Bombyx mori: one gene and its partners. The protein of the gene in region 3 interacts with the protein of the main gene of each other region in a biochemical or structural test. Links are inferred from orthologs where the notes say so. Each region holds a gene or a part of one and is shown on either strand. Other genes may lie near its edges.

What was found.
Region 1: the proteins of GTP-binding nuclear protein Ran (region 3) and importin-5 form a complex in vitro, tested with the Homo sapiens proteins (2 studies listed by BioGRID). The link is inferred for Bombyx mori from reciprocal best matches to the Homo sapiens genes RAN and IPO5.
Region 2: the proteins of GTP-binding nuclear protein Ran (region 3) and probable nuclear transport factor 2 form a complex in vitro, tested with the Homo sapiens proteins (3 studies listed by BioGRID, with this or other methods). The link is inferred for Bombyx mori from reciprocal best matches to the Homo sapiens genes RAN and NUTF2.
Region 4: the proteins of GTP-binding nuclear protein Ran (region 3) and regulator of chromosome condensation form a complex in vitro, tested with the Homo sapiens proteins (6 studies listed by BioGRID and IntAct, with this or other methods). The link is inferred for Bombyx mori from reciprocal best matches to the Homo sapiens genes RAN and RCC1.
Region 5: the proteins of GTP-binding nuclear protein Ran (region 3) and importin-11 form a complex in vitro, tested with the Homo sapiens proteins (2 studies listed by BioGRID). The link is inferred for Bombyx mori from reciprocal best matches to the Homo sapiens genes RAN and IPO11.

The regions. Positions count from the first base shown.
Region 1 is NC_085121.1:12,778,623-12,784,972, forward strand, and holds the start of importin-5, read right to left. Parts: upstream 3,506-6,350; 5' UTR 3,300-3,505; coding exon 3,219-3,299; intron 2,666-3,218; coding exon 2,432-2,665; intron 1,404-2,431; coding exon 1,261-1,403; intron 1,184-1,260; coding exon 982-1,183; intron 627-981; coding exon 501-626; intron 102-500; coding exon 1-101. Other genes in the region: DnaJ domain-containing protein, read left to right, coding at 5,660-5,662, 6,011-6,250. UniProt on the Homo sapiens protein: Functions in nuclear protein import as nuclear transport receptor. Serves as receptor for nuclear localization signals (NLS) in cargo substrates.
Region 2 is NC_085116.1:12,786,285-12,792,794, forward strand, and holds probable nuclear transport factor 2, read left to right. Parts: upstream 1-2,200; 5' UTR 2,201-2,343; intron 2,344-2,432; 5' UTR 2,433-2,458; coding exon 2,459-2,566; intron 2,567-3,001; coding exon 3,002-3,073; intron 3,074-3,646; coding exon 3,647-3,745; intron 3,746-5,056; coding exon 5,057-5,170; 3' UTR 5,171-5,731; downstream 5,732-6,510. Other genes in the region: U4/U6 small nuclear ribonucleoprotein Prp31, read right to left, coding at 1-60, 236-371, 445-639. UniProt on the Homo sapiens protein: Mediates the import of GDP-bound RAN from the cytoplasm into the nucleus which is essential for the function of RAN in cargo receptor-mediated nucleocytoplasmic transport.
Region 3 is NC_085116.1:5,373,976-5,379,936, forward strand, and holds GTP-binding nuclear protein Ran, read left to right. Parts: upstream 1-2,285; 5' UTR 2,286-2,361; intron 2,362-2,727; 5' UTR 2,728-2,754; coding exon 2,755-3,180; intron 3,181-3,281; coding exon 3,282-3,497; 3' UTR 3,498-4,026; downstream 4,027-5,961. Other genes in the region: syntaxin-1A, read right to left, coding at 1,133-1,165. UniProt on the Homo sapiens protein: GTPase involved in nucleocytoplasmic transport, participating both to the import and the export from the nucleus of proteins and RNAs. Switches between a cytoplasmic GDP- and a nuclear GTP-bound state by nucleotide exchange and GTP hydrolysis.
Region 4 is NC_085130.1:7,888,299-7,894,153, forward strand, and holds part of regulator of chromosome condensation, read right to left. Parts: coding exon 5,786-5,855; intron 5,603-5,785; coding exon 5,431-5,602; intron 4,694-5,430; coding exon 4,572-4,693; intron 3,759-4,571; coding exon 3,613-3,758; intron 3,271-3,612; coding exon 3,085-3,270; intron 2,282-3,084; coding exon of another isoform or gene 2,210-2,281; exon of another isoform or gene 2,155-2,209; intron 918-2,154; coding exon 869-917; intron 62-868; coding exon 1-61. UniProt on the Homo sapiens protein: Guanine-nucleotide releasing factor that promotes the exchange of Ran-bound GDP by GTP, and thereby plays an important role in RAN-mediated functions in nuclear import and mitosis.
Region 5 is NC_085127.1:2,267,901-2,274,198, reverse strand, and holds the start of importin-11, read right to left. Parts: upstream 4,372-6,298; 5' UTR 4,150-4,371; intron 3,564-4,149; 5' UTR 3,558-3,563; coding exon 3,423-3,557; intron 2,937-3,422; coding exon 2,716-2,936; intron 2,410-2,715; coding exon 2,250-2,409; intron 1,238-2,249; coding exon 991-1,237; intron 375-990; coding exon 93-374; intron 1-92. Other genes in the region: arrestin domain-containing protein 2, read left to right, coding at 4,771-4,888, 5,013-5,153, 5,700-5,899. UniProt on the Homo sapiens protein: Functions in nuclear protein import as nuclear transport receptor. Serves as receptor for nuclear localization signals (NLS) in cargo substrates.

The DNA of each region.
Region 1 (6,350 bases), on a different chromosome or scaffold from region 3:
ACTTGTTTACGCACCATGGCTGGTGCTGTCTCACATAATGTTACCATCGCTTCAAGTGCCAGTTGGCGCCAGTTATCTTCAGCATCTTTGTCCCCAACCACCTAATTTGATTTGTAAAATGATATTTTTATACCATACAATAAATATTTTGCTATATCAAACTACAATAACAGATATAATTATTTCAAATATCAATTGTAGCAATAAGACTCTCATTGATCTTCAATAGTGATACAAATTAATGTCAATTTAGCCACTTTTAGTTTCTGATTATGCTTTCAAACAAAAATTTAACTAAAACAACAAGTAATGACCACAATCCTAATTAATGGGGGCATGCTCCTTAAACATACACTAAGGTCACAAGTTCACTGGCACTCTTAAATGAGTAGTTTTATGTTTTAGGGTTCTACTTTTTATGGCTGTTTCGTTTATAGTCTCTTTACCCATTCCCAATTTTTTTGTAAATGAATTGGTAATTTTAGACATTTTTTACATACCTTTATGCAAACTTGGAATATGGTCTCCAGCTGGGGTCGGAGAAATTTAGGTGTTGATTCTGCTAACTCAATGAGTACTTTCAATGCAGAGTCATCATCAGCTGCTTCAATAGACAGAACTATTACCTGATAACAAAAACATGTACTATTTCATTCAAAATATAATACTATCCCTTTTGAAGATCATTTAAGAATTTAAATGTATTGAGAATTACTATCAAACTCCAGCTTATAGACAAGGCTGGTGTTAGCGAAATTCCAAATTCAATTTTGCACAATTTGGCAGTAACACATTTTATTATAGAAAATGTGCACGTAGGAGTATTTGTGCATACATAAAAAAAAACTGTTGAGTTTATCATATTAAGCAGGCAAATATAATTATTCACTTATTTTTTCTTTGTAGGTTAAGAATGCTTCTGATCTTGGCTATGGATGTGATCAGTGCACTATTTACTGTATAGAGAACAAATCTACAAACCTGCATCAAAGGTAGAAGAACATCACTGAAATGCTTTTGTATGATGGGCTCCTTATCGTGTAGTAGTATAAAGGCGCCTACAGCTTTAACTGCCTGAGTTCGCAAAGCCATTGATTCATTTGGCTGCAAAGCAGATATTAACATGCCTTTTATCACATCCAAGTTTTCAGTCTGACGATTTCCAAATACACCTGGTACAGATCTGTTAACAATAAACAAAGATTTATTGTGTAAAATAAAAGTAAGAAAAAAAATTGAATTAAAATAATTGAAACTTACGTAAACATTCTAATACCAGCTTCTTTGATGTTTGGATCTTGCGCACTGGCACAGGTAAACATGAACTGTAGGAACTCAGGCCACTGGTTGTTGCCATCGTCATCAATATGATTCCTAGCCAGTTCAGAGACTACATCACAAACCTGATGAGTAAATGGACATTTTTAATACATTTTTTTGTTTATTACTTATTTATTTTTCACTGTGAAAGTATTGTTGTTCCAAAGCATTTAAGTAAACCTTAAATTCAGACACACCTCCCCAAAATTGATAAAGATTACTGATCATTTATTCATTAGTTTTTTTCCAAAACCACATCTTTCACCACATCATTTTTAATATTTTTAAATAGATCAGTTGCAGAAAGGTTTGGTTCAGTTTAATGACTAATCTACTACAATTTACATCTCTCTCTGACATGAAGACAGCATCATATGTTCTCAACATGATGCAATATAGTATAAAAACTATATTATTGTGACAGAAATATAATCAACACATCCCAACTAATAGGACTAAAACAAGAAGACTAATTTTGAGCACATTTTGAGCACTGAAGGACAAAAATACTCATCATTGTTCATAAATAACATTTTAATTTTTTTATACAAATTTTGTACCATCTCTTTAAAGTTTATAAAAATCTCCATGTATTATTACCACCTTACAGTCATCTTCAGAATTTTGGTTAAACTGATTACATAGCCTCCCCATAGATTTGATGATTGAGGACTTGTCTGATAAATTCTTATTAGATAATGATGATGATAAACAGTATTTCAAGCAAAAAAAAAGCAATGAGTGGAGAAAACTGATAGCTTACAAGTAAGCCTTCAATACACAGATGCCTTAATTAATTTTAAAAGAGTTCAAACCGGGTGGTAGCATTCACATGAAGTCTATGTGGTATGGTGACCACTCAATATTAGAATATAAGAAGATAAGAGAAAGAATATCATCCCAGGTGTACTGTTGCAGAAAAAAAGGAAAGGTATTAAGTATAAGTTGTGTGAAGTGACTAATACTGTCAAAAATAATAAGCAGTGACTAATTTAATATGAATATTTTCTGTTTGTGTTCAGTATTACATTCTTAGAGTTTCAGAAACAAGTGTTCTCTAATTATTTTTTGCATCAATTGCTTTTATTACATACTCATACATACAACTCACCTTTCTTCGTAAGTACTGGGAAAGATCCATTTGAAGGGTGAGTAACAATTGTTCTCTGAGCACTGTCTGCTGCTCAAATGGCAATTTCGGGAAGAACTCAAAGAATTCTGCACTAAATAATCTTCGTAACAGCACGGCCGCCGTTTGACGCACATCTTCGGCAATGTCTGCATTTTGAATTGAATTCACTAGGTGCACTACTTTTGTTTCTGTTGGAATGTTGTTGTATGCGTCCTTTAAAAAAAATCAGTTTTATTTCAATCTGTTCCGCAGTTTATTAGGTACCAAAAATTCTCGCTAAGGTCACGGGCACCGCCTATTTTCTTATGTAATGAAATAGGCAAAATGGTCATGAACTTGACCTCAACCTTAGTTTGAAGTTACGACCGAAAATTTTCACACAACAATATTGTAATTAACAACAGCATTGACAATTATTATTATGATGCGAGTGTATTCTTTATCTAACCTTATTTTTCTACATTAAACAAGACATGTGCGTACCCGCCCTCCTAAATTCCAAAAGCGGTTGTATGTGGCGGTACCAATGTAGTAAGGTTTGAATACAAAATAAAGCAGTAAAACACCAGATTACTCAGTACTAACAATTTTATAAAGTAGTTAATGTGCAAATGCTATTATATTTTATCGCTTCAAAAAACTATATTCGTTCGGAACCTCCATGACCACGTTTTGACACGAGGCTTTCTGTTTTGTCGAGACAAGGCAGTTTATTTATTTTCATAGTGCAATAATTGCAAATAGAAATTACAGAACTTTATCTTACCTCTGCTTGGGATCTGATATCATTATCGGTTGAAAGTAAAGTATTTAGCAACTGATAAAATTGCGCCTGATCTCCTGCCATGTTGAACTTCTTCAAAAGGAACAATTTTTTTCATCCAACCAACATGCCATACTACTGGCCACTTTCTTTTTTGTTGCCAGTTAAGAAAACAATGAAAACATCGACTAAATGAACTTAAAAAGTTGGAAATATTATGTACCTACTTAATTTCTCAACTATTTTGAGATTTATTTCACTCGCTGACAGAGAGGTCCGGTATTGGGAACGTGATGAATAGATTATCGAATTTTGACAATAAGTAAAATAAATGTTATTATATTTAAATTTATTGTCTTTTAGATTGTTCAGAATTTAGTTTTTCACAAATTAAAACAAGAAATTGTCTTAAATAGTGTAATTAAATTTGATTTAGTAAATAGCACAGATAATTTGACTGTGTAAATAAGTCCGATTAATTCAAAGACCAAACTTTAAAATTTATAAAAATTAGCATAAAAAATAAAATCACTTCCATAAAATTATGTCTTTAGTTAGATCTTGCAGGATTGTGTAGAACCAACTTACAATAGTGAAAATCTTGAGCATAGATATTACACATAATAATTATCTAGAGTTTGAAAGCCCCCTGAGTTTTGACTCAATTTAATTGTTCTAGACTTTTTGGAGGGAACGCAAGGAGTGAAGTTATGTGATTTGTTTTATTTGTCTATTTAGTGTTTCTTCGGGTTTAAGCTGCTTATCAACTGTTTAGTATCTGTGAAAGTGCACAAATGTGGGAAAATAAAACAAAGCCACTGGATGTAACTCTTCGGGATCCTCCCAAAAGTCTCAGTAAATGACTACCTACCATTTTACTGAGATTATATTTCATCCCATATCATCTCATCTCATCACATTTCATTTCACGTCATATTATCATTTTTCATTTATGAAAAAATATATACCGTAAAATGGGGCGATTAGGGATTGAGAGGCGAATCGGGAAAAAACCGGGAAAATCTTTCGATGCTCAATATTAGTTTTATATTCGTTGCAAAATCTTCCATTTTTTGTAGTTTAATAGTAGAATGTTGAAAGTTTACAAAACAACTCTGAATATGCATGATAATAGCTGCTAACTTATAAAAAATCACGTTTCAAATTAACTTCCTGTGGTGGTAATTATTTTAGTGCTAGAAACTTTGCTCTCTTTTATTTATTTGATAATAATAGAAGACGACTGTGATTTATAAACGTTATTTAGTGTTTGAACCATCATATATATTAAAGGTAAGTCTCAGTTGTTATTGGTTTTAATGTATTTGATAAAATAAAAATACATGTCAAAATCTGTTGTTTTTGGGGATATTGGGGACGTCTTAGGTACAAATAAAAACGAAAAAAGGGTCAATTGGGATGAGAATACGTGAAATGGAAACGACCTAAGTATAAATAGGTACAGGTTTGTAGGGTTGTCTATGTAGTTATAACAATATTTTTTAAATTTGTTGGTAAAAATCTGGTTTATTCATGATGTTTTTGTCTAGAACTTTTATTCAAAATTATCAATGTGTTATTTTATTGTTTGGTAAATATTTATATTATCAGTTAAGTATTGTTTTCTATTTTTAGATATGCCTCGCGTGTATCTATCAAAGAGTGCAAAGCCTCATAAGAGATATGATCCCTTAATATTAAAAACAGCAATAGAAGCATATGAAATTGGGAATAAGTCTTTAGTTGAAATAGCTAAGCAATTTAATATAAGTAAGTCGATTTTGCACAGACATGTAACAAGAACAATGAAATCTCAAGGTGGACAAAAATGTCTAAGTACATACATACATACATAATAAAATATTTAATATTTGTTCAGAGTGGGGGAGAGGTGACATCTCCCATGTACTTTTTTCAGCTTTTCAATATTTTTTATGCAACAAAATAAATTAATTTAAACCCTACAACCCTAGCAAATTTCTCATTTCGTCCCAATTAACCGCTATTTCCGGGTAAATAGGGATTACACCTATTTTTGCTTTTTTTGCTTAAACTGGAATGCTAGTTGCGTAGTTTTAAATTGGACAATAATGATGCCCCCAAGACTCAATCATTTTGATCCTGATATAGCATTATATACATCAACAACTACCTTAAAATTGGTCATAAATTTGGAATTTGTCCCTAATCGCCCCATTTTTCCGGTATATACAAAAGATTAGGCTGTATGGTCTGACACCGTGGCCTTTCCAGTTGGTAAAATAAAATTACTACTACTTTATTTTTCTAAATTGTGTCTAGCATAGATTATTTAGAACACTTATTAAATGAGTGTCTAGATACGAAATTGAAAATTGAAAATAACATTAACTCACTCAGTGATTTGTACACACAAGTGATTATGAATTTGTTTGTTATCAAAACCATTTAATACGCAGGTTATTATGGTAGGTTATAAAATAATCTTATAGACTTCAAATTCCAAATAGATAATAATGTTTTTTTCATAGAACATCCCAACAATATAACGTTACAGGATATCTGATATATCTTTCTTAAAAAGGGGGTCTGAAATTTTTTCTTTGGGTATTGGTTACGTTGTCCCCTTTATTGCATTAATAATAAAAGCAACATTAAATGAACAGCAGAGCAACTTTTCATCCAGCTTTCTGACACAACATAACCCTAATTTTACTCACCTGTGCGCCATTCAAAAACAAAGATTTTGAGATTCGAAATAATAAAAATAATTAGTACCACGCATTTAGTACTTAGGGTATCCAATTACTTTTCAGGCTAGCTCAATAATTCTGGCAGGTCTTGGTATGGCAGCGGTCGGTTTCGCCGGACGATATGTTCTAAAGCAAATGCCAAACGCTTCAATGAAATTTGCCGAAGCAGTGAAGAATTTACCTAAATTCGACTCTGAAACATTAGCAAATTCTAAATATTACAAAGGTGGATTTGAACCAAAAATGACGAAAAGGGAAGCGGCTCTTATTTTAGGCGTAAGCCCCACAGCCAGTAAAGCTAAGGTGAATATTTTTGATTGTCTTTAACCACCTTATTTGACAGCAAGTGGTCATCTTTAGTCATAGATACACTCGGGAGTGGTAAACGGTAGAAAGGGCTAGA
Region 2 (6,510 bases), about 7.4 Mb from region 3:
GAGATTCCAATTCAGGAAACCGTTTCTGATATTTGTCACGGACAAATCTGTGAATAATAGCTGAAAATTTGCATTTCTTGACTTTAATATTGTAAGCAGTAATAATTAGACAACCAAGATAATAATTTCATGAAAAGAGAACTATTAACACTACGTTCAATCATAAAAGTTCAATTCTCTGAAACTGTTTTAATAAACAAATCAACACATGAAAAATGGAGATTGGAATGCATACCTATTTCACCATCAATTTCAACAGCAACATTATTTGCTTCCACAATCAGTTGATACTCAGGGTCAGACTCCATTAAGCCAGCAACTTCAACCTTATTTCTGTTATTTCCAGCATTACATTCTATTTCACTCATAACCTAAAAGTTGTTTACATGAAAAATTGTAATTTATATTTAAACTGTTCTTCAAGAAACTTTATTAAATACATACACGTTTCAGACGATCAGAATATCTTAGTTTCGCGAGTTCTCTTATCGAGACATTCTTGATTTCTTCTTCTTTAGGTAAGACGGGATATGGAACTGCAAAGTCGTATTCTTCTTTGGTTTTGCTCTCGATAGCAGCTTCGAGTTCACCATCGTCATTTTCTTCTAAATCAGCAAGTAATTCGTCAGCTAGAGACATGCTTCTGTAGAACTAAATTGATTTTCTGAGTGTTAAGTTTATGTGTGAGCTTGTTCTGTTTCTATTGTATTCTGTAATATTCTACAATTATTACAGTTTTTTACTCAAATCGACTTTCACAGCTATACAGTATATTTCATTTAGTATACATTATAGATATTAATTTGATTTTTTAGTCAGCGATGTCATTAAACTTCAATAGTTTGTACCCAAAACTAAATGATTTACCTACCTATGTACCTACGGCGACTAATATTTGCAATAGTTAATTTGAAAAGTAAACAGAAATGACAGTGACAGTACGGTACTTGACAGTAGTAAGTAGTACCGTACCTACCTAGTATGTAGTAATTCCATTTTTCCAAGTATAAAGACGAAGGTATCATACGATATGTTTATTCATAAATTATAGATTCTCTTTCATGGAAATGATATGAAGCTAAATGAATTTAAGTTGATTAACTGGAGATATTCATTAATAGAGATGAAATTAAATGAAATAAGATGAGATGATATGGGATAAAATATAATCTCAGTAAAATAGTGGTTAGATATTTATTAAGACTTTTCAGTGAACTTTTCAGTAGATCCCGAGAAGCTGCGCCCAGCAGTTTTATTTCATTTTCCCACATTTGTGCATATTCATAAATACTAAATAGTTCATAATTAACCACCGTTATTACACATTTAAACCTAAAGAAATACTAAATAGACAAATTAAAACAATTCACACAACTTCGCTCTTCGCGTTCCCGCCAAAAGGTCTCACAGGACGGTGACTTTTGATTGTTTTTTACAATTTAAAAAATACTGAAAGCTGTAATGAAATAGTCTTGGTTTTTTTTTTAAGAATTGAATCAAATTTATGAAGATTTGGAGAAATCGCAACATAAACAAAAAACTAAGATAAAGCTCATGAGAACCCTTATCTTCTCCATACTCTCGTACGCTTCTGAGACGTGGACCCTCAAGGCCCGTATCCGATTGAAAATTGACGCATTTGAAATGTGATGTTGGCGCAAAATGTTGGTCGTATCATGGACGGAGCGCCGAACAAATGTATCAATTCTCTCGGAGCTAAACGTCAAGACCTGTCTATCTACGATCTGTATGCAGCATCTCCTCAAGTACTTCGGACACGTGACCTGACGAAATCTTGACAAATTGGAAAAAATAATAATTGTAGGTCACGTGGAAGGAAAGAGAGCTCGAGGAAGATTGCCAACCAGATGGACGGACATTGCCAAGGAAGCCACAAACACCAGCGTTCCGGGTGCCATTCAGCAGGCCAAATGCAGGCAGCATTGTAGGAAACTAGTGCAATTAGACCAAGGTGGTCACGACTCATGATCCACAGTAATGAGGAAGCGACGAAGAAGAAGAAATGTACTTTTAATCTGAAGAATTACGTGGATCAAGTTTGACTTATTTTCTAATAACAATTGAAAAATATATTACAGGATTTTCCTAAAAAGTACGTCAGAGCATTAGATTTTAATACTTTTAATCCATAATAGTGGAAACAGCTCAGCTTTAGTAGAAAATAGTAGTGTTGTATGATCTTATACCTCTTAGACACTACATTCAGAATCATTAAAAAAAAATATGTCATAACTGTCAACAAGCAGAATAAATTTTCAAGCCCCTTTTCGTCAGTTCGTCACATCTTGAATTTTTCGGCTGGAATTGGGCTTTTTGTTGGTGGTGTGTAGACGCCTAATATTTAAATAAAGTTAAGTGAACACCTTCCTATTCAATTTTTTAGTATATTCAAAGATATCAATCTTTTACAGTGACAAATAGACACATCTTAATCTAAATGGCGCTCAATCCGCAGTACGATGCAATCGGTAAAGGTTTTGTGCAACAATATTACACATTGTTCGATGATCCGGCTCAACGGGCAAATCTTGTTAATATGTACAATGTGAGTATTATTACTGTACCGTTATTTTTATTATATTATGGTTATCTTCCCTTCTCTCACATTTTGAAAATAGTATTTTACAATTTAAATTTTGTTTAGAGGTTAACGTCTGGTTTTACCGACTGCGAAACTCGGCTTCTCATATAAAGCAATTACGTAGAATTTAGACTGAAGAAACGATACAAAGCCTCTATTTTAAGTGTAATTTAAATATGTCCTTTTTAGAATTGTGTTACCATGTGTTAGTACAATTTTATTCTAGATCTTTTAAGTGATGTATTTGTTGATGCCCACTAGGGTGAAAAATTGGTGTCAACTGGACATTGCGATAAATTTTACTTTATACCCCTTTTTTAACAATGTTGTATAAACATTTAAACATAGTTGTTTCAGGACTATTGCTTGTTAAGTTATTAATAATGACTTGTCTTGCAGGTTGAAACTTCATTCATGACCTTTGAGGGAGTACAACTGCAGGGTGCTGTTAAAATTATGGAAAAATTAAATGTGAGTAAATAAGAATTTTACCAATTTTGAAGATATTACACTAAAAATCTTCTCTAACACAATCAAAAGTACAGTTATGTATTTAGGAACAGTGCTTATATTTACAGGTTTTGTTTAGTTGTTATTTAACTGAATTTTTTTTTGTATACACTAAAATTTTCATTCTGGTTTCCTCAGTAGTTCTTTGTATAACTTTTTTTATACCTACTTTGTAACATTTTTTTCCTACATATATACATAATTTGTGCTTGTAACAATAATAGTGTAGTTATTGTTATTATGTTATATCTCTGTGTTAAGGCCATCCTGGTCGTAATAGTGGAGTCTATAGGCATTACAGATTTAATGTTACCACCTTTATTGTTGAGACATGAGATCAAAGTCTGTACTGTATCTAACTGTATCTGATAAAATTACTGCTACTAAGAAGCTATATAATCCATGTTGCTGTTTTTGACCAGAAGGCATCTATTGTGGTAGAGCAGCAAAGGTAGAATTGTGGAAAAATTGTCGTTAGGTCTATCACTTTAGAAATAACCTTATTTTTAATAAAAATGAAAATTAATATTACAGAGTTTGACTTTTCAAAAAATCACTAGAATAGTAACTGCTGTGGATTCCCAGCCAATGTTTGATGGAGGCGTTTTAATTAATGTCCTTGGAAGATTGAAGGTAAATAGTAAATATAAATCACCATTTAACTTTATGTGTTTAATTAAAAATATAATTGCTTTATTTACCTAAACAGGTGAATCACATAATATAAAGTAAAAGTTGTTTATAGTAAATACTATAAATTAATTTTATCATTTAATATCATCTTTATTTAAAAAAATTTTTATTTACGTCATTTGAAATACAGTATATTTTTGTGGTAATGTATATATAAGGTGTTTTTTGTCTACCTTTGAATATTTTTCTAACTGCTAGCTTTCTCTAAAATATTTCTTGACAGTGATGTCTTTTCACACACAAACAACTATCTTAAGCTCTGGCAGTTTGTTTGACTTGGGTTTTCGTAGTCACGAGAATCCTAAGTGTTAATTAAGAGCCAATCATTTTCTCTGTAAAATTAAGGTATTTTAAATTTTATTTTCATGACCTCATATACTATATGTGTAACTAGCTTTCTTTGGTCAGTATTTAGATTCAAATTTAACTGAATGGTTAATAGAGCTGTCTAGCCCATGTTAATAAACTGCGAGCTTGTGTATTCAATAACTCTTAATGTCTACAATGTGCTCATTAACTGTAACCTATAAATCTATATCTGAGAGTGCACATTTAAAATCCTGTTTATAAATACCTGGATCCTGCAAAGTAAAACTGCATTTTAGTCTTGTAGTAGTACTAGTAGTTTTCTTTACGCACACCAAAATATATTGCCAATACTTTCTCTAACTTCTTTGATGTAAGGCAAAAACCTTGGAGCCCGTTCTACTGGCTGGTTTCCTTATGAATGAAAGATTCCTTTGTAGCGCTATATTTTAAAGTTATTTAATATGAATCCTTACAACAATTATTTAGAGATGCCAGGCTGAGTGTTGGGTTGGTAAAATGCCACACATTCGTTTGTATATTGCCTGGTTGAGTTTGTGTCTGTGACGAGAAAGGAGACAAATTTTTAGGAGTAGGTATGAGGTTATCAGTGTATGGGTGGATACTCAAATGTAAAGTTTTATTAAAAGGTACGAAAACGAAAAACACTTAGGAAGCGCTGCTTTATACATACCTATGTATCTGTTAATAAACTTTAATAATTATGTTATCGTTTTCTATTCAAAAAATTAAGAAGGGTTCTCATGTCATTTGGAAAGAATTTGTAATATAGCAAAGTTTCGTAAGGTTCTGTATAATCTGTAGACAACAACAACAGATCCAAAAAGTTTTCAGGGTCTAGATGCATTATTCCTTAACTGACTATACGTAAATTTTGTAATACTACAGGATTCTAATTTTAAATTGTTTATTTTTTATTTTCAGTGTGACGAAGATCCTCCACACCTATACATGCAAACGTTCGTGTTGAAGCCACTCGGAGATTCATTTTATGTTCAGCACGACATTTTCCGTTTAGGCATCCATGACATAGCTTAGATCACAAGGACAGACACAACACGAAGAAATGCTTAACTTGAAATTTGATATAACATACAACTGTTGAATCAGAATTCTTGACATTTGGTACACATTATATTTTTCTTGTATCTATTTCGTCAAAGAATTTATGAAATTGAAAGGACTAGACGATTATGAAATTATGATAATGATCGATTTAGTGATCGAACAGGGTAATCTAAAATGAGAATTTGGTTTTCATTACACAGAAAATGGAGATAAATTGTTACATGTTTGTAAACGAACAAATTATAAAAATGAAAAACCGCTTTCATTATTGTTACCCTTGGAGATAATGCGATTTTGGGTTACGCCATTCTTCGAGTTGTCAATTATACTTTTAAATATCAATAACATACAAACACTAGTTTCATCATGCTTCTCAAGTCTGTTTGGTTATCTAGGTATATAAGTGCTATCAAAAATTGTGAATAGCTGTTACTAAATTTGGCATCTTTTTGTGCTTTATTTAACGTTGCTACGAGAACTCTTTGCATTATATGTAAACATTTTATAACAAATACATTATAATTTTCTACACGGTCTTGTTTATAATAAATTTTTTCCTACCTATTCTAGTAACCACGAGGGGTTATTCTAGATTCGCCGAATTAGTAAGTGAGTTCACGGGGCTCAAACCTGATGACGTTGCTAACACAAACCCTAGCAAGAGCCGCGCTTCGCAGAATCTACCACCGGATCGGAAACGCGACCCACTGAGAAGATCCGGCGAAGAAACTTAGTGGGCTGTCTGTGGGTTAACTCGCCGGTTACTCGCCGAGCCTTTCGTGGCAAGCGACGGGTTCGACGAGAATGTTGGTCGGTGCTTGGGATACCTAGAAGCACCGTTAGTGGATCGGGAGGATCCGAAATGACGTTGTTTAGACACCTTTAATACAATTTCACGTGCCCTGCTGTTACGGTTGAAAAGTAGTAGTCTTAATATTATTAAGACTAACAATCATTAAGTTAATGTGTTCTGCGGGTTTCGGGCGATGCCATCACTTGTCTCCAAACCCTTCTATTTTAAGGATGGCATACATGTGATGTTCGATCTTCTGTAACCACATAGCACTAGGCTTAGGTGTTGACAAGCTGGTTTTTCCATCCCAGCTATAAAAGAGCAGATTTTTACAATATAATCTCATGTCAACATTATCTAATCATCGATGCTAAGCTTAATTCTACGAAACTGTTCTCTTTCTCCCGGTTAATCTGTGATATAACATTATTTCCAAGAACACTTTGTCGAAACCCTGAAGAAATATACACCCCAAAAAAAAAAGCTCTTTCCTTACCGGTTAAAGATTATCTCGACT
Region 3 (5,961 bases):
TTTGATAATAGTCGACTCATATTATCATTTCAGGTGTATTTTGTTAAACTACAAAACTTATTTTACAATACCAATTTCTAATGAAACAAAAATAATTTAGAAATAAACAGAAAAAAATATTCAAATAACAATTCCAAATTAAACTATCCAATTTGCTACAATAGTAAATTAATTTCTATAAACTAGGTACCTTTCCTATACTTAGTGAATATTTTAATATGTAAGACTTAATTGAGTATATGATCAATATAAGAGCTTGTAGTTTTTCTATCTTAATAAAAAGTTCGAATGTATATGTGTCAACTTCATCAAGTTTGTATTTCACATGCAGCACTTGGTCCATTTATAAGTTTTAGGTTTATTTTTATTTTATTTTATGGAGTGGGTAACATAAAAATAGTATACTTATTTTGATAAAGAAAAGCTGAAAATTACTTTTTAAAATATTAATGGATGTAAATTGTAGCATAATTTGATTTCATTATTTATTTTAATAATTTTATTTCAATCAGTTGTTAAATTATTCAAATTTTAAAGCCTAGATACACTTTCAGTAACTTTGATCTTAATTTTCCTTCTCCACTTCATTGTATCTGACTGTTCTTATGAGTCATAACTTATTGCTCATATGCACTTTAACTAACTGGATAATTAAAAAAAAAAAATACACTCAAAGTTACTTTTGTATCCTATGATTTAATTTTTAACTCATGATAAATAAAAAAATCCGTACTATAGTTGAAATACTAAACAAGTGTTTACGACATTTCAGTTTTATAACAATAAATGTTTTCTTGTGAGGTTATACAGGTTTAAAGTTTTCGACATGGTTAGTGGCCCAAAAACAATGCAGATAAAGTAGGTTTCTTACAAGAATAGCGGAACGCAACAAATGTCTCGCATGAATGACAGCTATCATTCATCCAAGTCGAGTACGGGGTGGGGCGACCAGAATAAAGAACCCTCGTATATTTGGTTTGTCCAAAGATGTGTAGTTCTTAAAAAGAAGAAACTATGAAAATATCCTTCAAACTCACGATAGGCACCTTATTATCGGTATTTCATCATGAATTCGAGGTCATCGGCAAGACCATTAGATGTGCGAGAAGAGAGAAACTACAAATCTACTTACCGCTTGAAGCGCCGCTAACCTGTCCTTCGTCATCCTTTACAGAGAATCACGCACCAAGTAAACGTTTTTTCTCGTTACACAATCCCATTCAAAGATATTTTTCTAACAAACGTCACTAAACTAAAGGACACGAACACTACGTTCACTTCACTCAAAAAATCGATACCATACAAAACGTTCAGACGAGCAAAACTTCACTTATCGCTGGTCGCTACACTCGCTACCTGTCTCATGCTGTCAAATTTAATGTTGCCATAATTTTTTTCTAGGATCCACTAATATTAAATATAAAAAAAACAAGGCACACATGCTAAGAAACAACTTATAAGCTTCGTGCGCTACTGTGAAATGAAGATTGTGAGATGGATATAGTATGGCGACCAGGCTCATTAAAATTAAAAGAGGAGTACGTTTTAAGAAGGCCGCAAGACGAAACTCAGCAACGATATATTCATATAGGAAGGATCTCAGAAAGAAACTTTGCACGAAGAAGAATAGTTGCTTGTTCTTCTTCGTTCGAAAATCTATCGAAAGGCCGAAGATGGAAAAAATCCATCGAGAAGCAAGAGTGATTTTATAAAATTTTAATAGTGTAAAGAGGAAAAAGACGATCTTACGAAGTCTTTGTGGCCGATAGAATTCCCGCGGGCATTTACCATTTCTTATTGAAAGAAAATTTGTGTATAGCGTGTGTTCATGAATGGCACTCATGATGAGCAAATTAAAATAGAAAATTAATACAAAACCATTAATACAAAATAAGCTTTATGCTATATTTTTTTGGGAGTCATAATTGCCAATTTTGTTGGCAAAACCACTAAGATGGCAATGTTGAATATAAAATGTTTGAATTTGTAAGCTATAGGGGGCGTAGTGGTTTCGAAATACCAGTGACGTCAAATACCCTGTAGTCAAAACAGCGCATTATACGGCTTATATTATTAATTTTAAATACTGTTACCCAAATAGAAATTAACTCATTTACAAAATATATCTGATTGAAAGGTTAGTATATAAAATGCAAATTAATATTTTTTTAAACATTTGAAATAGTTTTACGTGGCTTTCATAAATTTAAAAAGACCTCACACTGACTCTTAATTCACTGTGCTTGTCAATGTCAAAATTGTCATTGTATGTAATCTTCCGCTTAGTCAAGTGACGCCATTGTGAGCCGTAACGACTTTGCTTTGGAACGAGTTAAATCTCGATTTTCTTATACAATCACGGTAAAGCCTTTAAAAAAATTATTTGTTTGTGTTCTATAAAAAACTGCCAATAAACTGATATCCATATTTATATTATTGGCGTTGTAGTTTTTCAGTTTTTCTCTTTAGAGTTCGGTACCTTCGAGCTAAATTCCTATGAGAGTGATTGAGCGCCATTCGCCGAAAAGTTAAAACAAATTCAAGTTGTCAAGTTCATTCAAACTCACAATTTATGTACCCAGTGATGAATTTAATCTGCTTAAAGTGTTGAATTATTTCTTGTATTCCGCGAAACCTAGTGAACGATCGATTGAAACGACCTGTCAACCGTGCGTCATAGAACATTCTATGGCTATATCCTAATTTTAGTTTACCACATTGTTTCAGAAGTAAAATAGCAATAAAACAACGAAAATGGCAGATGATATGCCCACATTCAAGTGTGTATTGGTAGGAGATGGTGGTACTGGCAAAACAACCTTTGTCAAAAGACATTTGACTGGAGAGTTCGAGAAAAAATACGTTGCGACTCTGGGTGTCGAAGTACATCCTCTAGTATTCCATACGAACCGCGGGCCAATTCGTTTTAATGTGTGGGACACAGCCGGACAAGAGAAGTTTGGTGGTCTTAGAGACGGATACTATATTCAAGGACAATGTGCTATCATCATGTTCGACGTAACCTCTCGAGTTACGTACAAAAATGTACCTAACTGGCATAGAGATTTGGTCCGTGTATGTGAAGGTATCCCTATTGTCTTGTGCGGAAACAAAGTGGATATTAAAGACAGAAAAGTTAAGGCGAAAACTATTGTTTTCCACAGGAAAAAGAATTTGCAGGTAAATAAAACTATTTTCATTCAATTTAAGAGTTAATTTTAAGGCAAAATGTTAAAATTCTTTGTAATTATTTTTGTTTCAAACTTGATTATTTTTTTCAGTACTACGACATTTCTGCTAAGTCAAACTACAACTTCGAAAAACCCTTCCTGTGGCTAGCTAGAAAATTAATTGGTGACGGTAACCTTGAGTTTGTTGCCATGCCTGCCCTTCTGCCACCAGAAGTTACAATGGATCCTCAATGGCAGAACCAAATTGAAAAAGATCTTCAAGATGCACAAAATACTGCTCTTCCTGAGGAAGATGAAGACTTATAAATATGATCAACGGATGTACCCAGTGCCCATTTTGTGATTGGAGGATCATGCAAATGTGTTCAGTGTAGCGTACACTAAATTTTTTCATTCCATTAGGTGATCGCAAATGAACATTATTTTAATAACTTATTAAACCTTCAATCATTTGCTTTAATTAATGTAAAATCATTAGATAATTTAACACGTAGCTCCTCTAGTTTGAGTTTTATAAAACTGTAATTCTAAACTTTTATATTGAAAGGCAACAAAAATATGAGTATTATTTATGTGTAGTTCATTTTTGTTACAGTTGTCATAAAAACATTTTGCATTGATTGCCCAATATGTGTTAATGCCTATTTGGTCACTGTTATTTATAATACACATGTAAACAAATTTGTATGATAACTCTTTGTAAACCAATAGCATGTACACACATAATATTATAATCTTGAAATTATTTCTTACTTTTGTTACATGCAAGGACTGACAATATTTCACTGAAAAATTGAATTGTGGTGATACTTTTTAAATAAAGTGTAAAAAATGAGATCGTGATTTTACTTCATCATATAAATAAAAGAAGCAATGGAGAAAATGGGTTGTTGTAACTTAAGATTCTTTAATAATAATAATATGTAGAATCTGTAAGTGATCTGATTTGTGTGGTTGTTCACAATATTAATGAGCTATCTAATTATTGAAAATATATGACGAAATACTGAGAAATTATTTATTAGCCTCTCTTAAATATTAAGTTTCATGAGGTAGGTACCTACACATTATGCATATGCCTTCAATATCTGGGATTTGACCTTTAGTGCCCTTGATGGCTGGCTCTGAGGCTTTTTCAAGCGTATCTCGAGTCGGGGCGGTTGCCGTCGCAATGAAAGTTACTTTTTAGTCGTTTATTCCTTTAAAACCCTGTCCTGATTGGAAATCGCTGGGGCGCTAAAAAATCACGGACGTTGGGTGTGGTGGAGGTTCATGGCACTATATTGTTCACCGGTTTGGTGTTACGCTCTGATCCTCGAAAATGCGACTGCGCTGTGGATTCCACTGCATCTTTGAGGTGGTGTGCATGCTCACCGGGGAATCACCCCGGGGTCTGGAGGCGGATGCGCCCGCCACGGATTACGCGTTGCGTGGCGATTTCCGCTCTAGGAGAGAATGGCGCACCGGTGAATAAGTGCGGAAGCTCTAATTTCGGCAGTCCGTGCTGAAGACGTTATGTCGCCGCTTGGTGATCCCGTCCTATGGTTTACGGACCGTATAAGCAGTCTGCGAGATCTTTCCGGACTAGGTGGGTCACGAGTCCCGACCGAAGACGCATCATTTTCCGACTGACGCAAGTGCTCACTGACTCCGGTTGTTGCCACCACTGTACTGACCGCAACGCGGAAAACATGCTCGCGCGCTGCACTGCGTCGGGCTGCAGACGGAGCAGCTTGCGGAAGGTCAGCGGCGCAAGCTGACACCCTCTACCTATCCTGTACCACGAGCCGCTCGATAGAAAGAACTCCACCCCGTGTCAAGCCTTAGTAAATATAAAAGAAAAAAGAACAACTAAGAATGATTATCGAGGCCCTTACTGGTCATGTTTTTTTTCAAGTAATACGAACTTATTTTATGCTAAACAGATAGTGATCTGTATAGGTCTCGCATGAATTTAATTAAACAACTCCTGTGACTTATTTCATTTTGCTTAATTAAAATTTTTGTACAAGACACTTTTCTTCGATCTCATATACTATAAGCTTTTATTAAATTTATGGAGGATAGAGGTAAGGAACACCATCTTGTATAGGGGACAAGTCGAAAAAGTGTGTACCTGTAAGCTGCCAGTTTTTATTAGAAGACTCACCGACACTGAAATAGCGCTAGTGTATGAAGTGGAAATGATATAAATGCAAATTATTAAAGTAGTTTTAAACAGAGTGAAGTGTGCTGGATTGAAGTGAAGTGTGGTAGTTTATAGTGCTGTTTTTTTTAATCTTTCCTCTTACTACTATGGCACCACCTTAATTGGTTCCCTTTCAGCGGACACTTTTAATACACTGAAACAGGCTCCTAACTTATGGACTCCATAGTTGAAATCTTTAGATTTCGTTCCCTTTGCCTAAGTGATTGGAAACAAAAAGCATAAGCAATTTTTTTATTATGCGAATCAAAGAGTGAGTAAGTGAGTGAGTGGACTTTTTGGCGAGAACGCGAGGAGTGAAGTTGTGTGATTTGTTTTATTTTGTCTATTTAGTGTTTCTTCAGGTTTAAATGTGTAATAACGGTGGTTTATTAACTGTTTAATATCTGCGAAAGTTCACAAATATGGTTACAAAAACCAAATCCCTGGACGGGACTTCTGAGGTTCCTCAAAAAGCACACTGAAATTTCAGTAAATTTTCACCATTTTACTAGGATGTTATTTCGTTTCACCTTATTTCACGCAATTTCCACCCATTCAACCCAATCTTAAACAAATCAATGT
Region 4 (5,855 bases), on a different chromosome or scaffold from region 3:
GGTTTCGTTTCTCTTTCGTCTGCCTCGTCTTCCTCGGATGATTTCTCTTTTTGTACCGCGTCTGTTGTAAGCCAAACAATATATATATATATATTTTATTGCTTAGATGGGTGGACGAGCTCACAGCCCACCTGGTGTTAAGTGGTTACTGGAGCCCATAGACATCTACAACGTAAATGCGCCACCCACCTTGAGATATAAGTTGTAAGGTCTCAGTATAGTTACAACGGCTGCCCCACCCTTCAAACCGAAACGCATTACTGCTTCACGGCAGAAATAGGCAGGGCAGTGGTACCTACCCGCGCGGACTCACAACAGTTCCTACCAACAGTATATTATTTATTATATAATAAACATGTATAGTAGAGCGGTATTACACCAGTATTTACACAGTGAAGTTCCACGCTAAAGACACTACTTTTCGTTGACTCGTTACTGGCGGTAGGACCTCTTGTAAATCCGCGCAGGTAGGTACCACCACCCCGCCTATTTCTGCCGTAAAGCAGTAATGTGTTTCGGTTTGAAGGGCGGGGCAGCCGTTGTAACTATACTGAGACATTGTAATTCATATATATCTCAAGGTATGTGGCGGTATTTACGTTATAAGTGTCTATGGGCTCCGGTAACCATTTAACGCGAGACAGGCTATGAGCTCGTCTACCTATTTATGCCATAAAAGACAAATGTTATTTCGTTACTATTGGACCTGAAGACTGTGGTACTCATGTTGCGGTGCTCCCCATACCCCGCGTCCACTCTGCACCCGCAGTTATTATTGTCTAAACAATTCCCAAGCTCACCGAACTCAACCCCTGACCTTACTGCCCCAGTTTTGTCGGTCGGGACGCGACTACTAAATATCACTCACCAGTTTCATCAACCTCCATGGGAGTCTCTTTCTCATCTCCGTTCACTTTCTGGAAACATAACAAACAAACACACAATCATTATATGACATATAACAGCACAATATTACTTCTAGTAGATATCAAATTTTAGTTCAATTTTACCGTGTCAATAAATATGAACCGACGTTTAAAAGAAAACAATATCAATATGTTGATTTTTTTTTATTGCCCTTGTAGGCAGACGAGCATACGGCCCACCTCATGGTGAGTGGTTACCGTCGCCCATGGACTTCAGCAATGCCAGGGGCAGAGCCAAGCTGCTGCCTACCGCTTAATACTCTCCACAAGCCACGTTTGAAAAAGGACATGTCATAGCGCTCGGGAAACACCTTGGAGGGGAGCTCATTCCATAGCCGGATAGTACGTGGCAAAAAAGACCTCTGGAAACGCACTGTGGATGACTGCAGTGGTTCCAGGTAGTATGGATGGGCTCAATTAATAAGATACTAAGTCACAGCATATAATACTTTGATTTTGAAAATATGACAATAGTTTCTATTCTACTTAAAAACATATATTTAAATCAAACAATACAACTAACTACCGATTGTTACTACCCCACACCGGTTCAAAAACAATATATATGTCACAAACATTACAATAAAAACGAATTAACTTTGTTTTTATTATACACGCGACAATGTATCTTATAATTATTGTGTGGAGAATTCAATTTGTAACGTGTTGATACGAGGACTGATACCCCCCCCCCAACACCCCTGCCCCTCACTCTGAATACAACAACACATACAACGGGACAACACAACAACAACTGTTACTGAAGTTACATTTCAATCTATACAACTGTGGAGTGTACGAGATAAATGGTTTCACTATACATTAACGCATCACAAGCCACTCCTTTCGCAGGGAAGCGAGGAATTGTCCGTGATGACTATGTGTAAACGTGAGATAAATATGGTAACATTTTCTGACAATAATTAAAATATAGTTTAGTTTTGACGTTACACTGGTAATTTGATACACAGAAACCGCTTAAACCACAATCAATTTATGATATTTAACTACGTGACATCATTAACTACGAATACTTCAGTTTTACACAAATCTATTCGTGTTAATATTTCCCAACAATGGCCCAAGATGTTGCAGCTCAACTATTCCTCTGAACTGGAGGGACAATGCGCGGGACAGTCGACACCCGTTACTGAATAGCTTCAGCCATTGTAGAAACCACAGCTCTCACAGACAAATATCGTCTTTACATATTTAAACCGATACCAAAAATGATGAATACTAAAGTAAAGTGGGAGCACCCGGGGGCGAGTGGGGCCGCGGACCTAAAGGCGCCTCCTGGTGCGCGGGGGGGCGCCGCGGGGGGCCCGCCGAGCCCCGGCCTTTCTCGGCCCTGTCTACAGTTAATACTCTGTTAGGACGACGTTAATGCAACTAGAACATACGTTTGGGCGGGAACGCGAGGAGTGAAGTTGTGTGATTTGTTTTATTTTATCCATTTAGTGTTTCTTCAGATTTAAACAAGTAATAAGGCTGATTTATTAAATATTTAGGATCTGTGAAAGGGCACAAATGTGGGAAAATAAAACAAAGCCTCTGGACATTGCTTCTCGGGATCCTCCAAAAATACCATTTTACTGAGATTATATTTCATCTCATCTCATTTTATTTCATTTTACTCCATAATATCATTTTTCATAGAAATAAGAATATACATTAAAATAAGACTTGACCTAAAGGTTTTAGTTAGCAGGTCATAAAATCCCTTTAAAAAAATAAGCAATTAGAACAACGCTCACGATCACATTATAATGTCAGGTGCAGTTGAATACATATAATTAATTATCAGTACAGAAATTCAACTGTATATTTTAAATGAACTAGCTTCCCGTGAATACAGAAAATAACATACAGCTCATATCAAAACATATTTCTTTGCTGTGTCATTGTATGCTCTGGTACAGTTGCAGCAAGGAAGGATACATTTCTTTTTAGTTTTGTGTACATATTGTCCCATGAACGGACCGTGAGACAATCCAGAGTAATGGCTCGATCAGGATTCTCAGTCAGCACTGCTTACAGACAACTGGGTCAGGGGGCAGGGAGTAAGGGGACGACTCAGATACAGAAGCACAACGATGCCGCATTGTATAATCTGGGGAGGTTTAGTCACTGATATGAGATGCAAACAACTAGATACCTGAGGTTCCGTATCGTTGGAGACGTCCTCAGGTTTGGCTGCAGACGTCGAGGTGATCTCTCCCTCTTGCTCGGTGATGTCCGCTCTACTCGTCTCCTCCTCCTCCTCCTCGGTGTCCTCGGATTGTTGGGATTCCGTCTCACGTTCAGGAATCGGGGAAGGTTCTCTCTGCGACGATGTTTCCTCCTAAAATCGAGATAGAAACTGTACATCCTAATTTCTTTTACTCTTTACGTTTTGGAGAATAAATGTAATTCTTAGGATGCAGGTTGCAAGTTGCAATTTGCAATTGCTTTATAACTGGCGGTAGGACCTCTTGTGAGTCCGCGCGGGTAGGTACCACCACCCCGCCTATTTCTGTCGTGAAGCAGTAATGCGTTTCGGTTTATATGGTTGGGGCAGCCGTTGTAACTATACTGAGACCTTAGAACTTATATCTCAAGATGGGTGGGCTCTGGTAACCACTCAACATCAGGTGGGCTGTGAGCTCGTCCACTCATCGAAGCAATAAAGAGCATGGGCACTCACGACCAGCAGCACGGTGTGTTGTCCGCCGGCGGAGACGCGGAGGGGCGCACGGCTGTCGACGGCGGCGAGGGTGGGCTCGTTGAGGTCCTCGCTCTCTCCGGTGCCCAGCTGCCCCTCGCTGCCCATGCCCCAAGAGTACACTTCGCCTGGAATACAAATTCAATTGCAATTCTAAATCATATATCTCTATTTCACTCAAATTCTCGTTAGAGGACAAAATAAATTAGGTTTTTCTCGTAAAATTGTACCAAGTAGTTCAAAATGAGCATACTCAAATGTAGACTAATAATATGAAGAATGTATGAAACGACATGCAACTCATTAAGAAATACATAATGAAGGGATAACTATTTTTTTATAAATGTAATGTAATTAAAATCTTAATGATGGCTTATAGACTCCAGTTACTTTGTCAGCCCAACAAACAAATATCTAACAAAGAACTGATCCACTTGTTGTTTGGACAAATCAACAGGTTCTTCATCTTGTCTTGTCTGTCAAGCATTAGCTGTCAAAATCAAAGTCCAATAGTAAAATTATGTCAGGATAATGCTAGCGTCGGAACTAGTTTAGATACAAGAAATATTGGTAACCAAGAAGTCATATATTTAGGCACTAGTTTCAGTAAATTATAATGGACATTGTTTGGATACAAATCAAGTTATATTACACATTATTATTAAATTATATGTTCTTAAGATTTAATCATGCAGTAGCTGTTTTTATTTGATATATTTAAATTTTTAATGCTTTACAGTTATATCATTATGGACGATCACGAAATAAGAGAATAAGCCGTAAGAGCAATTTTAACTGTTTATATTATTATAACTCAAGACAGTTGAAGAAGGAAAATACTTCAGTCTTAGTAATGAATTTAATGTATCTAAAAATAAAATTTAAGATATCATCGATTCCTTCATGGAGAGTGAAGCTGAGTGAGGAAGCTGTCCACTAACCGGAGTCTGTGACGGCGAAGGAATTGCTGGTGCCGGCCGCTATACTGATGCATTTCTTGTTCTGCAGCTTGGGTATTAGTTCTAGAGTCTCCGCGTCGCCAGATTTGTCGCCCAGACCTAGCCTGTTGGCGGAAAATCAACATGTCAATACATAAAATGTTTTATTGGATGGACGAGCTCATGGTGTTAAGTGATTACTGGAGCCCATAGACAACGTAAATGCGCCACTCATCTTGAGATATAAGTTCTAAGGTCTCAGTATAGTTACAACGGCTACCCCACCCTTCAAACTGAAAGGCATTACTGCTTCACGGCAGAAATAGGCGGGGTGGTGGTACCTACCCGTGCGGAGTCACAAGACGTCCTACCACCAGTGGTACAAAAACAGTGATATACTAAGGTTGGTGATGGATTTAGGGCTTGATGCCGCCCCAGGCCATATTTATCGCGCCGCTCTTAATGTTGGAATAATTTTATTAATTTTGATCCTATATTTTTATTTTAAATTTAAAAATAACTAAAAATCAATCTGAACTAATTTTTAAAGGAGACTTGTCTTTACATTTTTTAATCTTTGAAATTTTGGCATTTCAAAAGCGCAAAAGTAGCCTACGTTTACCATGGTTACTATGGAGATAAGGGGTTTAAAATTTGATATCGAGTACATATATATAATGTTTTCAAAGTCACTTGTTATCTATGGCAGAAACTAGGGATATGCCGGTTTTGCATAAAAATTTGCACGAATATGAAAATTTTGGGTCAGGCTATTCTTGCATTGACTGACGGCCTTGCAATTTCGAACCTAAGCTTTGTTATAATTTTTTTTTTAAATGGTTAATATTGGAATTTCCCATACCTCCCATATTCACAACGTCCCAGCGCATATATCTGTCCGTTGGCAGCGAGCGTCAGTGTGTGATGTTGTCCGAGGGCCACAGCGCTCCACGCGTGATCGTCTCCGACGGCTCGTAGTGCGTCACACTCGGTCGGAGAAAACAACGCTGTTTTACGTTTCTCACCCGTTATGCCTGGAATATATTTTAAATATTTTATTATTTGTATACATAAATATTTGTAGATCGTATATAATATTAGGAAGGAGCATTGATGACTGGATTTAACTCACAGACGACGATTCACAACGATTTTAAAGAAGTTTCACTTCAAAAAAACTGTATCTAGTGTTGATGGCTAGTGAGAGGTGCACTGACCGAGCTGTCCGTAGTTGTTGAGTCCGAAGGCGAAGAGTCTGGCGTGCTGCGCGTCCAGCACGAAGGTGGC
Region 5 (6,298 bases), on a different chromosome or scaffold from region 3:
CAAATACCCGAGTTATTATTTTGCTAAAATTTTCTTTACGTAGTGTCTTTACTAAATCAAATAACTAATATACAATAAGGAAAATTACTCACTAGGTTCCTTGATCTGTTCCGTTCCCTTTGGCACTTTATATTCGATGCACTGCAATATACCTTTTACTATATTAAGACACTGTATCGTGAATCTTTCGTATATGAGAGCCATTCCAGGCTCGGTGAAGCAATAATACAAAGCGAATTCTAAAGACGGTCGGATCAAAGGCACATAGGAAAACGGGTGGAAAAATAATACTCCTAACGCTACTTTGGTTAAATGTATTATGAATTTTTCGCATAACTCTAATAAGTAGATCCCACGACCCTTTAGAAGTTTACCTGAAAGTATAACATAATAGTTATTTCAGGTGTGATAAGACTAAAACAGTAACGTATGTACGGTACGGTAGCGGTAGGCAGCAGCTTGGCTCTGCCCTTGGCATTGCTGAAGTCCATGGGCGACGGTAACCACTCACCATTAGGTGGGCCGTATGTTCGTCTGCCTACAAAGGCAATAAAAAAAAAAAAACCTATTTAAGAGTCTTCCTAACATGTTTAAGGGTTGGTTGTAATAATTTTAACTTGTTATATCGAGCAGTGAACAATATGAGAAAATTTTAAAGCACTCAACTACAAAAGCTGCTAGAATGCCAGTCAATTTATAACAATTTCTTCCAAATGTCTAGATTTTACATCCATAATCAATATTAACATTTAAGTCATAAATTTGCATAGTTACTGGTTTTAGTGAATTTCGTAGCAACATAGATGTGGCAACACCATCCTGTATAAATCTATATGTTGAGGGATAAATCAGTAAGCAATCCAATGCAATTGAGTGCAAGAGAAATACTACTCACTGTGGTGTCTGTAGGCTTCAGTAGCATCTATTTCTGTATAAACCGACCCTAATGAGCTTGTGGTTTTTTAATGTTAAATTCATATTACTACTTACGACATTCCAAGCTGGACTTAGCCCGATCGAATACTACGTTTAAAAAAGCAACAGCGTCTTGGCTTTCGTGCGCCTTTTTGAAACCGAACACTGTCAACTTTCGCAATATCCTAAGACACAGGAGGGCCTTCTCTAGATGTTCGGTAATTATTTCGGTGGCGGCCCCTTCTTGGATCTGACGTAAGAATATCTCCGTGTTCTCGTGCCATAGACTTAATATGAATGAATACACTGAGTTGGTTAATTCCTGGAATCATACATTTTGGGTAAAATTTGGGCAGCAAGTAAGAAACTTATAGAAGAAAATTTGCGTAATTACTGGTGATAGGGCCTCTTGTGATTCCGCGCTGGTGGGTACCACCACCCTGCCTATTTCTGCAGTGAAGCAATAATGCATTTCAGTTGGAAGGGTGGGGCAGCCATTGTAACTATACTTGAGACCTTAGAACTTATATCTCAAGGTGGGTGGCGCATTTACGTTGTAGACATCTAGGGGCTCCATTAACCACTTAACACCAGGTGGGCTGTGAGCTAGACCACCCACCAGAGCAATAAAAAAAAAAAAAAACTCGATCACCACCTCACCCATCTCAATAAGACCTCTAAAGCATAACATATTTTTTTCCATGTTTCATATGCCAAGATCTGATGGGATAATATCAGTTTCTCATTTACACCTTTAATGTCATTCATTGTCATTCTTATTCTTGTATGTATGTATTAGTGGCATCCCTTCTATAAGGCATCATCATCATCAGAGTTCATCCGTACTACCTGGAGCCACTGCGGTCATCCACAGTGCGTTTCCAGAGATCTTTTTTGCCACGTACCATCCGGCTATGGAATGAGCTCCCCTCCACGGTGTTTCCCGAGCGCTATGACATGTCCTTCTTCAAACGAGGCTTGTGGAGAGTATTAAGCGGTAGGCAGCGGCTTGGTTCTGCCCCTGGCATTGCTGAAGTCCATGGGCAACGGTAACCACTCACCATCAGGTGGGCCGTATGCTCGTCTGCCTACAAGGGCAATAAAAAAAAAAAAAAAAAAAAATATTATTAGCTTCAGGTTGTTGAATGTGAAAATTATTAAGTGATTGTTCAGTAATAATACAGTTATAAATTTACAAAATAACCATTAATGGTTCAGTAAATGAATATCATTGTATTTTTTGTTTAATAAATAGAACAAATGTTTGAGAAGATGTAATTAAATGAAAGATATTTGATAATAAATATGTTTTCCTATTTATCGTATTAGCTCACCTGAAATGTCTTCCTGTCACCAACTAATCTTTTAGAAGCCAAAGCCTTGACTACATGATGGAAGATTAACAAAGATCTGTGCTGGATCAAAGGTTGTGTAGTTTTCATGGCACCCATTAGCTCTGGAACTAAATCTGGCCAGTTAGCTGGACAGTCAAACCTAGAAGACGAAATGAACTTGATCAAATTAGTGATTCAACTCAAACTGATCTAGTTATGCTTTTTTTTTGCAACAGTAACAAACAGCTGATTATAAATGGAACTGTGAGGGTATCAAAATTTGAGTTAAATATATATCTTCAATTATGATATGGTGCTATTGTGTTAAAAATCATCAACACTATTACTAGCTATTTGGCTACTTGGACTGGCTATTTATTTCCTATAATAAATTCAATACAATGCCTTCAGTATCAGCCCAGAGACACTGTGTCATATGGAACCAAAGGAACAAAAAAAAACTCACCTAGCGATTTTTGATATCAAAACTGCTTGTTGTGTTGCTATCTGGGAGACAGGTTCACTTAAAATACTTGTTGTTAGCAAGCCCTGTTTTAGTTTCTGTTTTTCTTCCTCTGAAATGGCATTAGGAGCATTCCTCCTCCAGTACCTGTCCACTCCATTCTTGAAGCACATGACAGCAAGCCATCTTACATTCACATCGATTGAGTGGTTAGTGAGCACATTCTGAGACATGATAAAATAATTAGAAATTAGAATTATCACTAAGGAATACAACTACAATACTTATAGATAGCTACAAAAGTTTAATACAATTTATAACTACAATAAAAATGAATAAGAGTTATCTTTGTAATTTATAACAATACATGTTATCATTCGTTTCAAAAATGTTTAATTGTTCACATTTTTACTATACTCAATGTACTTAATTGAGTATTGATGTTGTTATTAATTCAAAATTTTTATCGGTAGTTGAATCAAACCACCAATTAAATCAACAATCAAACAACTATTTGATTAACTAGTTTTTGTGAGAGTCTAATATAATTGCCTCATAATATAATTTCCATTTCTTATATGACATTCATATAAAATATTTGTAAATACTTTTTTTCATCAGAATATTATTTTAAAAAGCCATTATTACTATATATATATATATACTAAATATATTATATGTCACAAATATATTATATAACAAGTAATTACCAATAAGACAGAATAATATCCTGGTTCTATCTCCCATTCCTGCAGTTTTTTCTCAGCTGGTTTTAAAACTTCTGTGTCTTGGCTGGTGGCCTTGTTTAGGGTATCCAATACTAGTGCATAGATATTCGGATCCATGATCAGCTGTAGTAGAATTTGAAGATTGCAATAAAAATTCCGAAATTAATATGACAATATAGTTAATGTATCAACAATTATTGACAATTAAATTTTAATGTTTTAACATTTAGTTTCAAGACTGACCAGTAATGATTTGATCTACTCTACACATGTCCCTACTGTTGAGACACTACTTATGTTTTGGATTTAATGGTGACTATTATCATTTTATAAATTGATTTTACTTAACTACATAGTTGCATTTTCTGATCATGAATTAAATTAAATAATCAGCAAAATACTTATATTACAATACGAATTTATAGAAGAAATATCTTAAATATCTTATAGAAGAATATAAGAAAAAAATATCTTATAGAAGAATCCTTTAGAACAGAACCACAAAATGCAGTTCAACAGGAGTCCACTAAAAGATATAAAATTAATAGCAAATAATATGTTTATAAGTTTTAAATGTCTACATAGTCGACGGATTATATAAATTCTAAAGCGTTATATATTTTATTATTAGCGCTCTGTGGAATAAAAGAGAAAATCAGAGGAATGCATTACACAAAATTTTAATTCGGAAATGAATTAACTAACTTACTTTTCACCCTCCGACATAGGACATAACATAACCTAACTACCTCCGAATTATTGGAATATAAGAAGCGAAGTAGCCCAATTACAAATGAATTGTAACAAAATGGATAGAATAATTTTATTCGCTAAAGGAATAACTCCGAATGTTTTAACAAACGAAACATATCGAAATTAACGTTAAGTAAAAAAATCGCAAAACTCCATCGGAATACCGATTTTTGAATGTCAGCATTGTTGTCAGTGTCACCGGAATAATTCAGGTTGTCAAATGTCAATAAAAATGAATTCGTTCAAAATAACTTAAACTGGTCTATGTAGGTAAGTACCTACGTAATTTTATTGGTCGACACAACAGAAAGGGGGAGATCCAGTACATAATCTAATTTATTAATTTATTACAGAGGGGTTTGATTTGTTTTTTAGTATCATCAGATTTTCTCAAATTTTAGTTGTTTGATTTTCAAATGCTGTTTATTAAAACTACTTATTATCCCACAAATAATAAGAAATTTGGAAGTCATTATCTTGAGGTAATTTATCGAAGCTTATCAAATGAACCAAGATAGCAATGGTAGACGTTTAGTCAATTCTTAATGACTAAGCTAGCTGCTTTCATAACATTGAAATGACTTGGGATAATTGTATAGTACGATTAAACAGTGATTCTACGGGAAGTTTTTATACTGGTGACATAGTTACCGGAACCGTGATATTAGAATTTGACCAAGAACAAAAAATTGAAAGTAGGCCTTAATTTTATTTTCCTATTAAACGAATTGAATTATAGACGTTTTCACGCTTGACCTTGAAATAGAATTTAATTTATACAACACGTAAACTTTAAATATTTTTTATTTTCTTTCTCAGGAATCGATTTACATGTTATAGGTATAAGCAAAGCACAATGGACCAGATCCATGCCCACTATGCCATATATTAAAATTTACTCAGAAAAGAAAAAAATATTAAGCATTAGCATTTGTGACATTTTTAGTGAAATAATTAGTGGTAAGTAATACTTATATAGTCTTGCGATTTAAGTTTAAATAACTGCTTTAGTGTCGGTTTTTAAATTATTATTACATTTAGCATTCGTTCATAAATTTTATTTGCAGCACAAATAGATGATTTTGACTTAATTATTAAATAAACAAATCGGCTTTAGATACTGGAAATATAATAGGGGAAAATTTTAAAATGTTGGCATAAAACAGCAGATAAAGTAAACTTTAGTACCTTCTAACTAGAATATCAAGATAACGAGGTGAAGAATTATTAGACGCCTGTGGCGTAACGGGCAAGATGCAATAGTTCGAATGATGCATCTCCATCAGGTTCGAAGTCTTGGGGAAAAGCCCACTTTTATAAATATTTTAATATTAATGAGCGACTGTATTTCTGAGCTTATCATTCTTTAAAAAATAAAAAAAATCTCTCCACAATGTTGAATATGTCGAATCAAATTATAATACATATTTCCAAATTCATTGGCTGGAAAACATTAACTTATAAATTATCTCTGTCTTAAATTGAGCTTGTGTGTTTACTTCGCAGGTAAAAAGATTAGACCGGGTATCTACACTTACCCTTTCCACTTCGCTCTCCCCTTAGATTTACCATCTAGTTTCGAAAGCAAGATTGCTAAAGTGCACTATTGTATTAAAATTAAAAGCAAACCTGCGGTCAAAGTAAGAAAGAACGTTCCTCTGCGAATTCTGGAAAATGTCAACTTGAATCATTTGGAGGAAATGATGGTGGGTTTGTTTGTTACATTAGTTGTCAATAATGTTATATTAAAAAAAAACAGTTGTTTTACTTTTCTGTGCTTCATTTCAATTACTTTATACTCGTGGCAATGACTCTCCGGTTAAATGTATAATAACAAAAGAAGTATTCGCGTTGAATACTACTGTCTATTAGGATTATTACTATTGGTATTTGCGAATTATCCGTAAGAGCAGCTCTTCAAATTTTACCTAGCTCTGACCCGGATTCGATCTCAATTACACCAAGATCGGCTTATTTTAAATCGATACAAATCCAAATCACTGCTCTACTTATTTCTGAGAAGATATGTACATCATTTTTTCCGGTTTTGAAAAAAAAAAACAACCATCTTTACGGCTCAAGGTAGAATTCACAATGTAATCCTT